3 linked regions of the Neodiprion lecontei genome follow. The protein of the gene in region 1 interacts with the protein of each later gene in a pairwise test. Links are inferred from orthologs where the notes say so. Each region holds a gene or a part of one and is shown on either strand. Other genes may lie near its edges.

Evidence for each region.
Region 2: the proteins of TRAF3-interacting protein 1 (region 1) and exocyst complex component 1 interact in a two-hybrid assay, tested with the Homo sapiens proteins (2 studies listed by BioGRID and IntAct). The link is inferred for Neodiprion lecontei from reciprocal best matches to the Homo sapiens genes TRAF3IP1 and EXOC1.
Region 3: the proteins of TRAF3-interacting protein 1 (region 1) and dystrophin, isoforms A/C/F/G/H interact in a two-hybrid assay, tested with the Homo sapiens proteins (2 studies listed by BioGRID and IntAct). The link is inferred for Neodiprion lecontei from reciprocal best matches to the Homo sapiens genes TRAF3IP1 and DMD.

The regions. Positions count from the first base shown.
Region 1 is NC_060263.1:6,633,892-6,637,649, reverse strand, and holds the start of TRAF3-interacting protein 1, read left to right. Parts: upstream 1-1,537; 5' UTR 1,538-1,667; coding exon 1,668-1,802; intron 1,803-1,935; exon of another isoform or gene 1,936-1,936; coding exon 1,937-2,054; intron 2,055-2,142; coding exon 2,143-2,255; intron 2,256-2,344; coding exon 2,345-2,668; intron 2,669-2,916; coding exon 2,917-3,488; coding exon of another isoform or gene 3,489-3,501; intron 3,502-3,610; coding exon 3,611-3,739; intron 3,740-3,758. Other genes in the region: zinc finger protein 2, read right to left, coding at 37-122, 591-677, 821-886, 990-1,005.
Region 2 is NC_060263.1:29,176,002-29,179,759, forward strand, and holds the start of exocyst complex component 1, read right to left. Parts: upstream 2,591-3,758; coding exon 2,143-2,590; intron 2,066-2,142; coding exon 1,911-2,065; intron 1,826-1,910; coding exon 1,598-1,825; intron 1,512-1,597; coding exon 1,275-1,511; intron 1,192-1,274; coding exon 951-1,191; intron 865-950; coding exon 647-864; intron 527-646; coding exon 336-526; intron 178-335; coding exon 1-177.
Region 3 is NC_060266.1:24,308,076-24,311,833, reverse strand, and holds the start of dystrophin, isoforms A/C/F/G/H, read left to right. Parts: upstream 1-1,003; 5' UTR 1,004-1,018; coding exon 1,019-1,106; intron 1,107-2,109; exon of another isoform or gene 2,110-2,301; intron 2,302-3,758. UniProt on the Homo sapiens protein: Anchors the extracellular matrix to the cytoskeleton via F-actin. Ligand for dystroglycan.

The sequences.
Region 1 (3,758 bases):
TACTTATTAGGATACAGAAATGGTAACTGAACTTACATCTTCTGATTTGAATATACGGCGACAGGTAACACATTCGTAGTCTGTTATAATTTCAATTATATGATCAGTTTCGTCTGACCCAGCTGTAATGGAAACACATGTATTAGTATAAAAAACTTCATCTGTAACAGTAACTTACTAAGTCATTGATATTTACATTGCTCATTTAAAAAAATATCTGATCAACTTTAGTAGTAAAGAACTACTTGACAATGTTATCGAATATGGGATGCTCATCATTGTAAGTAAATCAGATTCGAAAACTACTTGTGACGTCATTCGCAAAAGCCATCTCAAATTCTAGAATCCCACTTTGTGTGACACATAGAATAACTGATATTTTTTGCATGTTTTTGAGTCAATTATTATTGAAGAATTAATTGTATCCAATTTTTTGCCTAATAACTTATTACCATTTCAAAGGAGCCGCCTTTCGTGTTATTAAATAAAAATTCTACGTCAATGTATATTATGATGTCAATGTACATTAGTACGCATGTATTGAATTATATACGTATACATAATAATTGTTTGAGGTGCTAAAAATACACTCATTTTATCCTTACACTGTCCGTTGAGTAGTTCAATCTCCTCCTGAGCATCTGCAGCCTGTATGGCATTTTCGTTTTGTGAGTCGCCTACAATAGAAATCAAACAGGTGTTGAACAGATGGTTAGTTTACCCGTCTATCGTAGAAAATTTTATTTGTATTACAGAAAAGATACGTAGTAATAGAATAACAGTATTAACAATCACTTTCGGCAACTACGCCACTACATACCAAACAATAGTTCAACAGCCTCCTCGACATTCCCTGACGGGACGGGATGTTCTATCTTTACGATTTCTGTAACAGACAACATGTATAATGGCGTGAATTCGTCGATTTAACCAAAATATACGTATGAACGAAAGGCACCGATTGGTAATCATCGGGGACGGGTAATTACCTATAACACGCGGCATGCTTTCAGTCTAACGGGAGAGAATCTCCCTGACATCCGACGCAGCGATGATCAATGGTTTTCCAGATCTCTTTACTTGCAACCTCGCACTACGATACCTGTGATCTAGACGTTGCTCAGCGTGTTTGTTTCATGTACAAAACACTTTATTATCCTAAATCTAAACAGCAATACCAGTTTGTGTTTCAGTTTGGAATAAATAATGTGTCAATATTAAAGTAAGACTGGGAAAAAATGTATAAACACGAACATTTGCCCCTGATGGAACGTCCACCTTGGGACACGACGCATTACAAAATGGCCTACATAAAGGGGCACGCCTTTGTGAAGCAAAGATTCTCAATTCCGAAGATATTTTGATGAAAATAACATGAGCCAAAAGGGAATTTTATTTTCAAATGCTATAACCATCGTTAATTTTATAAGAAATATCGTATTTTTCTTTATCGCTAAGCTTTTTTTCACAATTCAATTCGAGTTTGTAATGTTGGCTGCCCTGCGCGTGACGAGAGGAAGGCATTTCAGTGGAGGAAGATCACGTGGTTATAGATCTGATCACGTGATCCGTCGCCAACAGCAACCGATACGTATACAACATCGCCCTGTCAAATCTATTTCAACATTTGAAACGTCGTATTTTATTTCCATAATATATAATAGAAAATGACGGAAGACGTAAAGCCGGAAGTAATTAAAAAAACTCAAGATATTCTCGGGAAATATTTTAAAAAACCACCACTCACGGAAAAATTGTTAAAGAAACCACCTTTTAGATTTCTACATGATATAGTCTCATCGGTAATACTGTTAGTTAATATTACGCGCTTTTTTACATTTAATTCATTTTTCATAATTGCTCACCCTTATTTAAAATAAAAACTTTGAAATTATTCTGCTAATTTATTGTGCTTAACGTTCTTATAATGTTAAAGGTAATTAGAGAAACTGGATTTCTCGATGGTCTTTTTACAGAAGATGAATTGAATTCCGAAAATATAAAAGACAAAGACTCCAAGCTTGCGTATTTAACAAAACTGATTGACGTTGTGAGTAAGTGAAACGAAGACACAAATTATCTAGATGGTCATATTTTTCCTGATTATTCTAGATAGCTAACATAATAAGTTAAACATTTCAGAGTTGATTACTGGAAATAACCTCATGGTACGACCCAGTAAGATCATCGCTGGACATGAACCCACTCGAACCAATGAGTTACTGCAAGCGATTGGAAAAGCCCTTGACAAAAAGGTATTCACAATAATTTCTAGTTATTCGTAAAATGGTAAACCCAATGTTCAAAATGGTATCACTGTGTAATTGTTTATCTTTCACAATAGATCAGCAGCGCAGAAGCAATAGAGCACTATAAAAATAGTAATGGTAGATCTAAGGGGCCAGTGAAATCAAAACTGGTTGCTAAAGATGAGTCTAAGAAGCCAGTGTCTAGACAGTCTTCACAATCTAGAAAACCAGTGGAAAAAGAGAAGCCTCCGATTGATCAAAAGAAAAAGTCTACAAGCACCAGCAAAAATGCACCCAAAGAAGTTAAAACCCGTGCTGAGAATAGACGAGAAAAACTACACGAACAGGAAAAAGAGAATAAAGCAAAAAATAAGGGTGGGGATAAAAAAGAAAAGATCGTTGAAATTCCTTCTGCTGAGGTAAAGAGATGTTGATATAGGAGTTAGAGTAGATAATCTATTTTAGATATAGGTTGAGCGTCGTATTTTGTTTACCTTTTGTATCGTAGAGCCTTTTCTTTTTTTACTTTGATCGATAAGAAAGTATTTTCTTCCATTGTTTTGAACACCGCCATGACGATTTTATAAAAGATTTAGTCATTTGACAAACATATTATCCATAACTCTTGTAATGTCGCCCAATGATTGTATAACTAAATTATTTTTAGTCCAAGGAAGAAAAACGGCCATCTTCGGTGAGGCGACAAAGACGCTCAGCGTCAGTTCAACCCAAGGAAGATCCTTCATCACCAAGAACGTTAGACTCCCCAAAAACCAAACCTGCTTTATCAGATTCAACAAATTCACCTACTCATAAAATGACGGAATCTTCGTTGCGTAACACCAACTCGCCGATAGACAAGCAAGTAAAATCGCAACAAGGTAATAACCAAACGGAACAACCGCCTGATAGAATATCAGAACCAGAAACAAGACAATCTGCTGAAATAAGGGGAAAAACAAGCGCGAATGATGATGGTTCTCGTAGAAGCTCACATTCTGATGGTAGGACAAAGAGAAGTGCAGAAAAAAACTCAGCTCCCTTAGAAGGTGAATCGAAACCGAAATCTTCAGCTGGGAACAAAGTAAGAGAAGCAAGTAGCCTGCTGTCACCAAATCATAAATCATCGAAATCAGATACAGTACCAAACAAATTACAAAAACAGTATACGTTTGAGCATCCAGGTTCTCCACCACCAAAGCCTGCAGGTCCCCCAGACGATTCTGCAAATACAGCAATGTCAGTCTAATAAGTATATAGTTCAATATTAATGAATAGCTCGATAGTGTTTTTATAATCTGGTAATGAAACGAAAACAATGTTTGTAAAGTTTTCAAACTATTACTGTGGTTTGCTTATAGAGTTCCTGAGACGACAGTAGTGAGATCAAAAACTTCACTGCGTCCTCCCAGTGCCAGGCCAATGAGCGCTAGACCTGCAGCTCCTAGGATGCGATCAAAAACTGAATTCATTTTAAATGAAGATATAACGTAATCCTAAGGATCATTG
Region 2 (3,758 bases), about 23 Mb from region 1:
GTTCGACGGTTGACTTTGGGGTCACGCAAGATAGACTGTAGTTGCGCCTGCATAAATTTATCAAACGATCTCTTCACCTGTACAAGTGCAGATGCAAATGTCATTGAAAGAAAAGATCCCGTATCCTGCGCTGACATTACGTGCTGTGAGAGCCGCACTAGTACATATAAACACCAACTGGAAAAAAAATGTTTCACTTGCTGTTATTGTTATTAAAGTTGTTGGACAGTAATATTTTTCTTACTACAAACGTAACTGATAATGAATTGTCGGGTAAATTATAGTTATTTGACAGAAATATTAATGCTAAGGATAACGGAAATCTAATAACTTACAAGCTGTCTATTTTATCCAAATATGATATAAAATTGTTCAATTCAGGCTCAAGGGATGGAAATATTGCAGCCATTGTAGCTCTAACTTCTTCGTTAACTTGTCTTTCCAACTTTTTACTGGCAGTAGAATTTGCTGATCCGGGACTTGTTGCTCCATTGCTAATACTATCAGTCTCGTCCGCTTCAGTTCCCTTTTAACAATTAATCACCTCACGCATTATATACTGATCAATTGCTATATTATAACTAATAGAAGCAACTAACGATATACCTGTGATTCAACGAAATGTAAGTAAAGAAATATTTTGTACCTTCACGGGCGACAGAACCGAGTCAAGCTGGAAAAACGAAACGCAAAAAGCTTGTTCAGCGAGACAGACAGGCTGCAATTGAGAAAGAGCTCTATCTAGAACAGAATCTAAGAGGGCTCCCTCTCCTTGAGGAGCCCAAACCTCCCCACCCAAGAGACAAAGAGGCGCTGGACTAACCAAGTCATCCCCTTTTTGTCCACTAGATTTCGATGTATTGGCTGTGAATATATGTAAGATGCACAACAAAATGTTTACTTTTGCGTATATACTATGGCTGAATTTATGTAAGGTTATATATACCCACCATTAAGTTTTTTGCTAGTAACGCGAGTTTTTGCTTCCTCAAAAAATAGCTTTAGGTCTCTCTGGTATAATTTGCTCATGGTGCCAGTGTACACTTTTGTTAATTGAGTGAATGCTTTGTTATCCAAAGCTCTGAGTAATCTCATCAATTCGGTGTATGGTTCTAGTTCACGATGTACAGCTTGATGCGTAGGCAGCGTAAGATCTGTTGTCGAGGTTGAGGCTTCGCCTGTGTCATTGCCCTGAAAATCAAGTCAAGTAAGATAATGGTTACAGACTATTGCCTAAAGCAATATACGGCAAGAAAGAGAAAATAGAGACAAACCAAGTGTATGAATAGATTGTTCAGATGCCTGGCTACAATCAAAGAGAATTTAGCTCTAAGTTTGTCCAGACGCCGACGTTGTTCCGAAGCAGCTCCTAATTTATCAAGACCAGGAGGTAAAGGAACAGATGTAGCTTTCAATAAAGCTACTCCTGCTCGTCCGAGCTCTTCTCTACCTCCTGGAAGTTCTGCTTCGCTCAATGTGCGTTGGTGTTCTGCTGGTATATCCAGTTGTGTCTAGTTGAGTAAAAATTCGAAAGGTGAGTGGGAAAATCTGTAGATTGTAGAATACTCAGGCAGAATCCTTGTAGTTACACACTTACAATTACAGCGTCAAGCTGTTCGAGGAGAAGTCTAGCGTTGTGATTAGCCGTATGAATGGCTTGGTTTTTTTGACCAACTCTAGCCATTGCATCTCTGATTCTACCAAGTGCCTCGTCATAGACAGCAAGACGTGATTCTACTAAGGATGCTTCGGTAATAGCAGCCTCGATACCATTCATTAATTGAATTACTTGAGGCTCGGAAACTAGGACCGATTGTACATTTTGCTATTGAAGTAAGAAATATTCACATTTATTAACATGTTTTATCTTTACTGATTATTTGGTGCCTTAAAAATTGAGAATATCTTACCCCATCTAATATCGATAGATCTTTAGAGAGTGTTTCCATAAAACGTTCTGCATCTGAGACTGCATAGTCACAACTTGCCATCAACGATGCTAGATACGTAGCCTCCTTGTCAGTAATTGGTTGATAATCTGCAGATACAGGTTGAGACAACAAATCTGAAAAAATTCAATATACATAATGATACATGTATCTTTCTGAACAACAGCATCAAGGTTGTTTGAAAATTATTTACCCGGTGTGAAAATAATGCTGTCGCTTTCTTTAAGAGATGCAGGATCGATCATCCAATCACTGGGTATATTTTTAAACTCAGGTCTTTGCGGCATGCTACAAGAATATGTGTATAAATTCCGTATGAACGTTGTTCTTTCTTGAGCGTAGGTGGCTGTCCATTTATAGACCTTATCGATGTATATTTCCAGGTCCAGCGAGTCAATATTGACACCATCAACCATTTGTATATCAGTCAGAGGCCAGGACTGTTTTTTCTTGTAGACATTCTTGTCATTTTTTTTAACTTGGCAAAGCAATAGTGAGCCTGGGGTGTCAGTTGTTCTAACGATACATAAAAAGCTAGTCTTTTTTTTTTTAAAAGCCTTACAAACATGACAGAGACTAAGCAATTGCTGATCGGCTGGCGCAAACAGTTCTCGTTTTAGCGCATGTTTTATCACAGCCATTGCATCAACAAATTTTATTTAATTATTCAGGTTTTCTTTATTATTCAAGCATCAGTGATGACTGGCTTTTGTGGTCGGTCTAGCAGCTCTTCCGTCTGAAATGTGAGGAATAATTTAATATATCGAATCACTGACAAGGTTAGAGTGCTTTAAATTAAATTGCTTGTTGTGGCTCATGTTCTTACAGAAGAGAAACTATGACTCGTGTGAGTGGTTTTTTAAAGTTTGGTTAGAATCACCAGATTCACAGACTTGTAGGTCAAAGAACTGACCACAATCATTGTGCTATTATTGAGTCTTATGCAACACTGTGCGCTGCTTGGAGTTGGATAAGAAACCTTGGGAAAATAGTGATTGGTGGTCTGAAAAGAGTGCCAGCGATTCCATAGATGAAACTTGTCTTTCGGATATGCGTACGTACTCGGTGTATTTTCTGAAAATCATCATTCCAACCTCGAAATTAACATTTTATTACCTAAGAATTAAGATAGTGTTACCAGGCTCCTGAAACACTGCCAGTTATTTCACAACGCTTCGTATATCATCACACAATTGATTGCAACCAATTTTTTTTGTTCTTTGAGGCTGCAACTGTCATTTGACAGCCCACATCGAGGCTTTGAGGGCGTAAACAGGAATCTAGCTATATTCTGGAGCGCAGGCGTGAGCTTAGAATTTTTTATTTCGTGTAGCTCTACATTTGTTTGATGCGTTATGTGTTGCAGCTATTAGGCGCAAATTCATTGCATTTCTCAAGTAAAAATGAAACAGAAATTTGATATTATGTACTGAGTTATCGTTGCTACCTGCATAGGTTGAAATTGCATTTGGCGTGGTTGAAATTTTATAATCCGAATAATACATTATTTACTAAATGTATTTTCAGTTCTAGAAAAGAACTAAATACTCAAAAGTTCAATGCCCTATATTCACAAAATTCCAAATTCACAAATTATATCTTACTTCGAATATATGCCTGATTGTTGAATGAGAATAGTACAGTTGAAATTTTGAGTCGTATTAACAAAATTATACTTGTAGCGTGTCAGAGCATCCAAAGCGCCTGCAGATATGCAACTCAACTTTCTCTCGTGGAAGAAACGCTATTGTTGCCATCGGATAGGCTCATTGGATTTTTAGCATCTGTATTATATAATATCGATACATT
Region 3 (3,758 bases), on another chromosome or scaffold:
AAAATTAGTGCCAAGTGTAATCGCTGATTCCTATAAACTCCCTGTAGAAATCAAGCTTGTAAGTAGATATGACAGACAAAGTTGGTGTTATACATACGTATAGTTAAAAATTTGGTAATTTATGGTAAAACTGTGACATCGAATTACGATTCTTGGTATACACCGGATTCCCGGAGTCGAAAAATCCAATCTGAAAACCCAAAGTTTTTCTGATTCGTTTTTGCGATGATATAGATATATTTGCACGACGATAGTGAACGTATGAGAATTAGAATCGCGTTATAGAAATCCAGCATGAGTGAAAGGTGCGGAGATCTCTACGTAATGACTATGTAGAATCTTTATTAACTTAACTCGCTGCAAATCCAAGGTATTTACTTTAAGTAGTGTAAGATGTAAGGTTTTATCCGTGACATTTGACGGCAATAATGTAATGCCGCAAAAGCGTGAATAACGTAGAATTACGCGGACATTTCACCATTACGACCAATGCGCGTTGTATGCAAATTAATCGATTTACCGATGATTCGTACACATACACCATACACGTTAATCGCATAGCCCTATTTTTCATGCACGCAGAATTATTAATAAATCAACGAAGTTTAAAAGAAATTCCCGCCATCGATTCGAGTTCAAAGTATAATAAAAATAATGTAAGAATGCTTTTGGTAGCATCAAATGACGTCACGCACATGGAGATGTGAGTGACAATCAACATAAAACCTGCTCAGTGTTATACCTATATATGCACACCCGAGTGTATGGTCGATGACTTAATGGTTCCTGCACTTATTACATGCCTGTATATTATTTCCAGCAGTATTATTATTAAGCTTTGGGCAAACACGAGATCTTGACGATATTACGCAACACAACCAGAGGTGTATTAATCAAGCTGCCTGCAGACGACCGTTTGAACAGACGAAACGACAGGAATATGCGGGCAACTAAATGCTCCCGATATCGATCACATGCAGGTTGTTCATTTGCAGGAGCTGCCGGATACGCCGCAATCATGCTCCGAAGGGTCAGATGGGTGGTTCAAGTCGACGAAAAACCGATCGAACACGTGCCCGTCGATGACCAAATCGCCACGACGAAAGGTATTTATCATTCGTCATCTGATGATGCTTACCAGAAAACGTACAAATGCATCGTCTGTACATCTATATCTGTGTATATTTGACTGTATCAAAGAAATGGACTGTTTTTGGTTTTCAAAAATTCGAGTCGAAAATATTGTTCCAAATGGCGAAAAAAGAATGCTGTCCAAGTTTCAGCTCTTAACACTAATATTTAGAGGTGAAACTTGGACGGCATTCTTTTTTCGCCACTTGAAACGATATTTTCGACTCGAATTTTTGAAAACCAAAAACAGTCCATTTTTTTGATACAGTCTAATCTACAGGGTGACAACCCCGAAGAGTTTTGGGAGACTTTCAACGGAAAAAGTGAGAAAAATGTCCATTCCACTTGAAAAAGTTGTCAGAATTATTTTCACCGCTTCAGTGAATATGTGCACTTAATGACTGTTTTTTTTCCCTTCTGTCTTGTTCTTTAAACGAATGCACGAATTCTCACGAGGAAGTTCAATTACAAATAATGATCACACGCGAGTAATTCGTGATTAAACAAAACATCGTGATTTCTCCAGAAAAAAAACGTATAAATGTTGAGATTATCATCAAAAAATTTTTTTTTAAATTTTCAATTTCTGAAATTTTTCTTTTTAAAATAAAACAAAGTATATAAATAGTATGTATCAAAGTTATTGCGGATGAAAAAATAGACAAGGTTGATCATCGAGCGATGGGACGTGGAAAAAAATGACGTCAATCGGAAAAAAATTGATTTTTGGTGAAAAAAGTGATTAGTTGCCGGTACTGTATTATCTCTGGACTGTGTTAGGAGCAGTTAGGAGATTCAGCGTGTTGAGAAATCCCCTCCCAAGCTGCGAGACTACACATATATAGGACTCGAGGCGCACGCAAGCGGTTTCGCTCGTAGTTCGGACGGCCGCCGATAGATGGCTACCGGTCGACCGCTCGCTCGCCGATGAAGTTTTGCAATTTTTTGTATAATGCTTGGATACTTTCAGAGTGTAGTATCGCTTCTCGGCCTATGGCTAAGATCAAAGTGTAGTATCTGTTCTTATCAGCTTAATATCTGATACGCTCCCCATTGGGGAGCCAGAATATTAAACTGGTTTTTGGAATTAGACCGGATGTCTGGGGCTTGCTCCGGTCCGGTCACGGGTCGACTCGACATTGCAGTGCCGTCGAGACTGGCCCACCTTATACAATACAATCATAAATAGTAGAGACGGTAATTCGTATGAGTCGTCATCATTGAGTCAAGATTCAAGAGTATTGCTTTATACCCATGACATGACTTGTTCGATTTCGAACGTCTGCGAGACGATCACTCCTGTAGTAGTTAATTATAAGATCTTTTGCGTTTCTACGTTGTAATATACAGCAGTAAAGTAGATGGGTAGATACTTAACTACAATATAATGTCAAAGTTGGTATAAACGTTGACCTAAACGAAACGAAACGAAAACGAAAAAACTATGCATGTTTACAATTTGTTAAGAAATCATACGAAATTGACAAACTTATATTAGTGAGGGAGCTTTCGCGGTGTAGAATAACATCATTTTCACAAATTATTTATTTTCTTTTAGATTGAAATTTTGAATCAAACAAACAAAAAAAATTTTTATTTTGAAGACGTTTGTTTGATTCAAAATTTCAATCTAAAAGAAAATAAATAATTTGTGAAAATGATGTTATTCTGCACCGCGAAAGCTCCCTCACTAATATAACTTTGTCAATTGTGTTTTACGAGTTATTTTGAATTATTTTAAGCTATTCCAAAGGTTCGACGTAAAGAGTTATTCTAAAAATGCATCTTTACGTACTTCAATCGCAGTGTTAAAAATGTTTTCAATGATAAAATAGTTGCGAGAAGAAGACAGAATACAACCTATGCACACGACGTATATTTCTAGTGATTACCAAAGATAAGTCAGAACTTACAGTATTCGTGAAACTATATTATCCAATTCAACTTCTGTATTACACGTAACTTCCTCATTGAATTCCATTAATCGATTCGCGTTGAAAATTTCTACTACTGCGAATATCAACAGAAGTTGAAAAATTTCGTACGATTTCTAACAAAACTGTGAACACGCATAGTTTTTTCCAACGAATTATTGATTTTCGTCAAAAAATTCTAGTACCTTGTACATTTGTCTTACCGAAAAAATACTAATTTTCATGCAAAGTCTGCAAATTTAAAAATTGTACGAAAATTTCCCAATTTTCCTTAAAAAAAAAAAAAAAAAAAAATTCGCAGTAGATCGTAGAAATGATTTTCACCGTGGAGAACTTGACGGCGGGCAAACGGTGTAAAATATTCAAGGCCCGTTGGAACGTGGGGTATAATACGCCCGACGTCGACGCGGGTCGAATCGACTCTCTGATCGTCAGTGCGACGGCGCCTCGACGACGAACTCGCATGGCATCCCCGACGCCTGCAGGGCACTTGGCAGTTTCGCGATTTTCGCCGCCGCATGCGGTCGCCTCGTTTTCCGAAATTTCAACCCCGGCGCTGACGGGATGCGGAAATGACCGTCGATCGAGCAAATTACACAGCTTTGCATGAGACGCGCGACCCTCCTGCGACTTTCTTATCTTCCTTCGTTAATACTCGCTGCTTAGTTTGTGTTGCAAATGATTGCACGCACC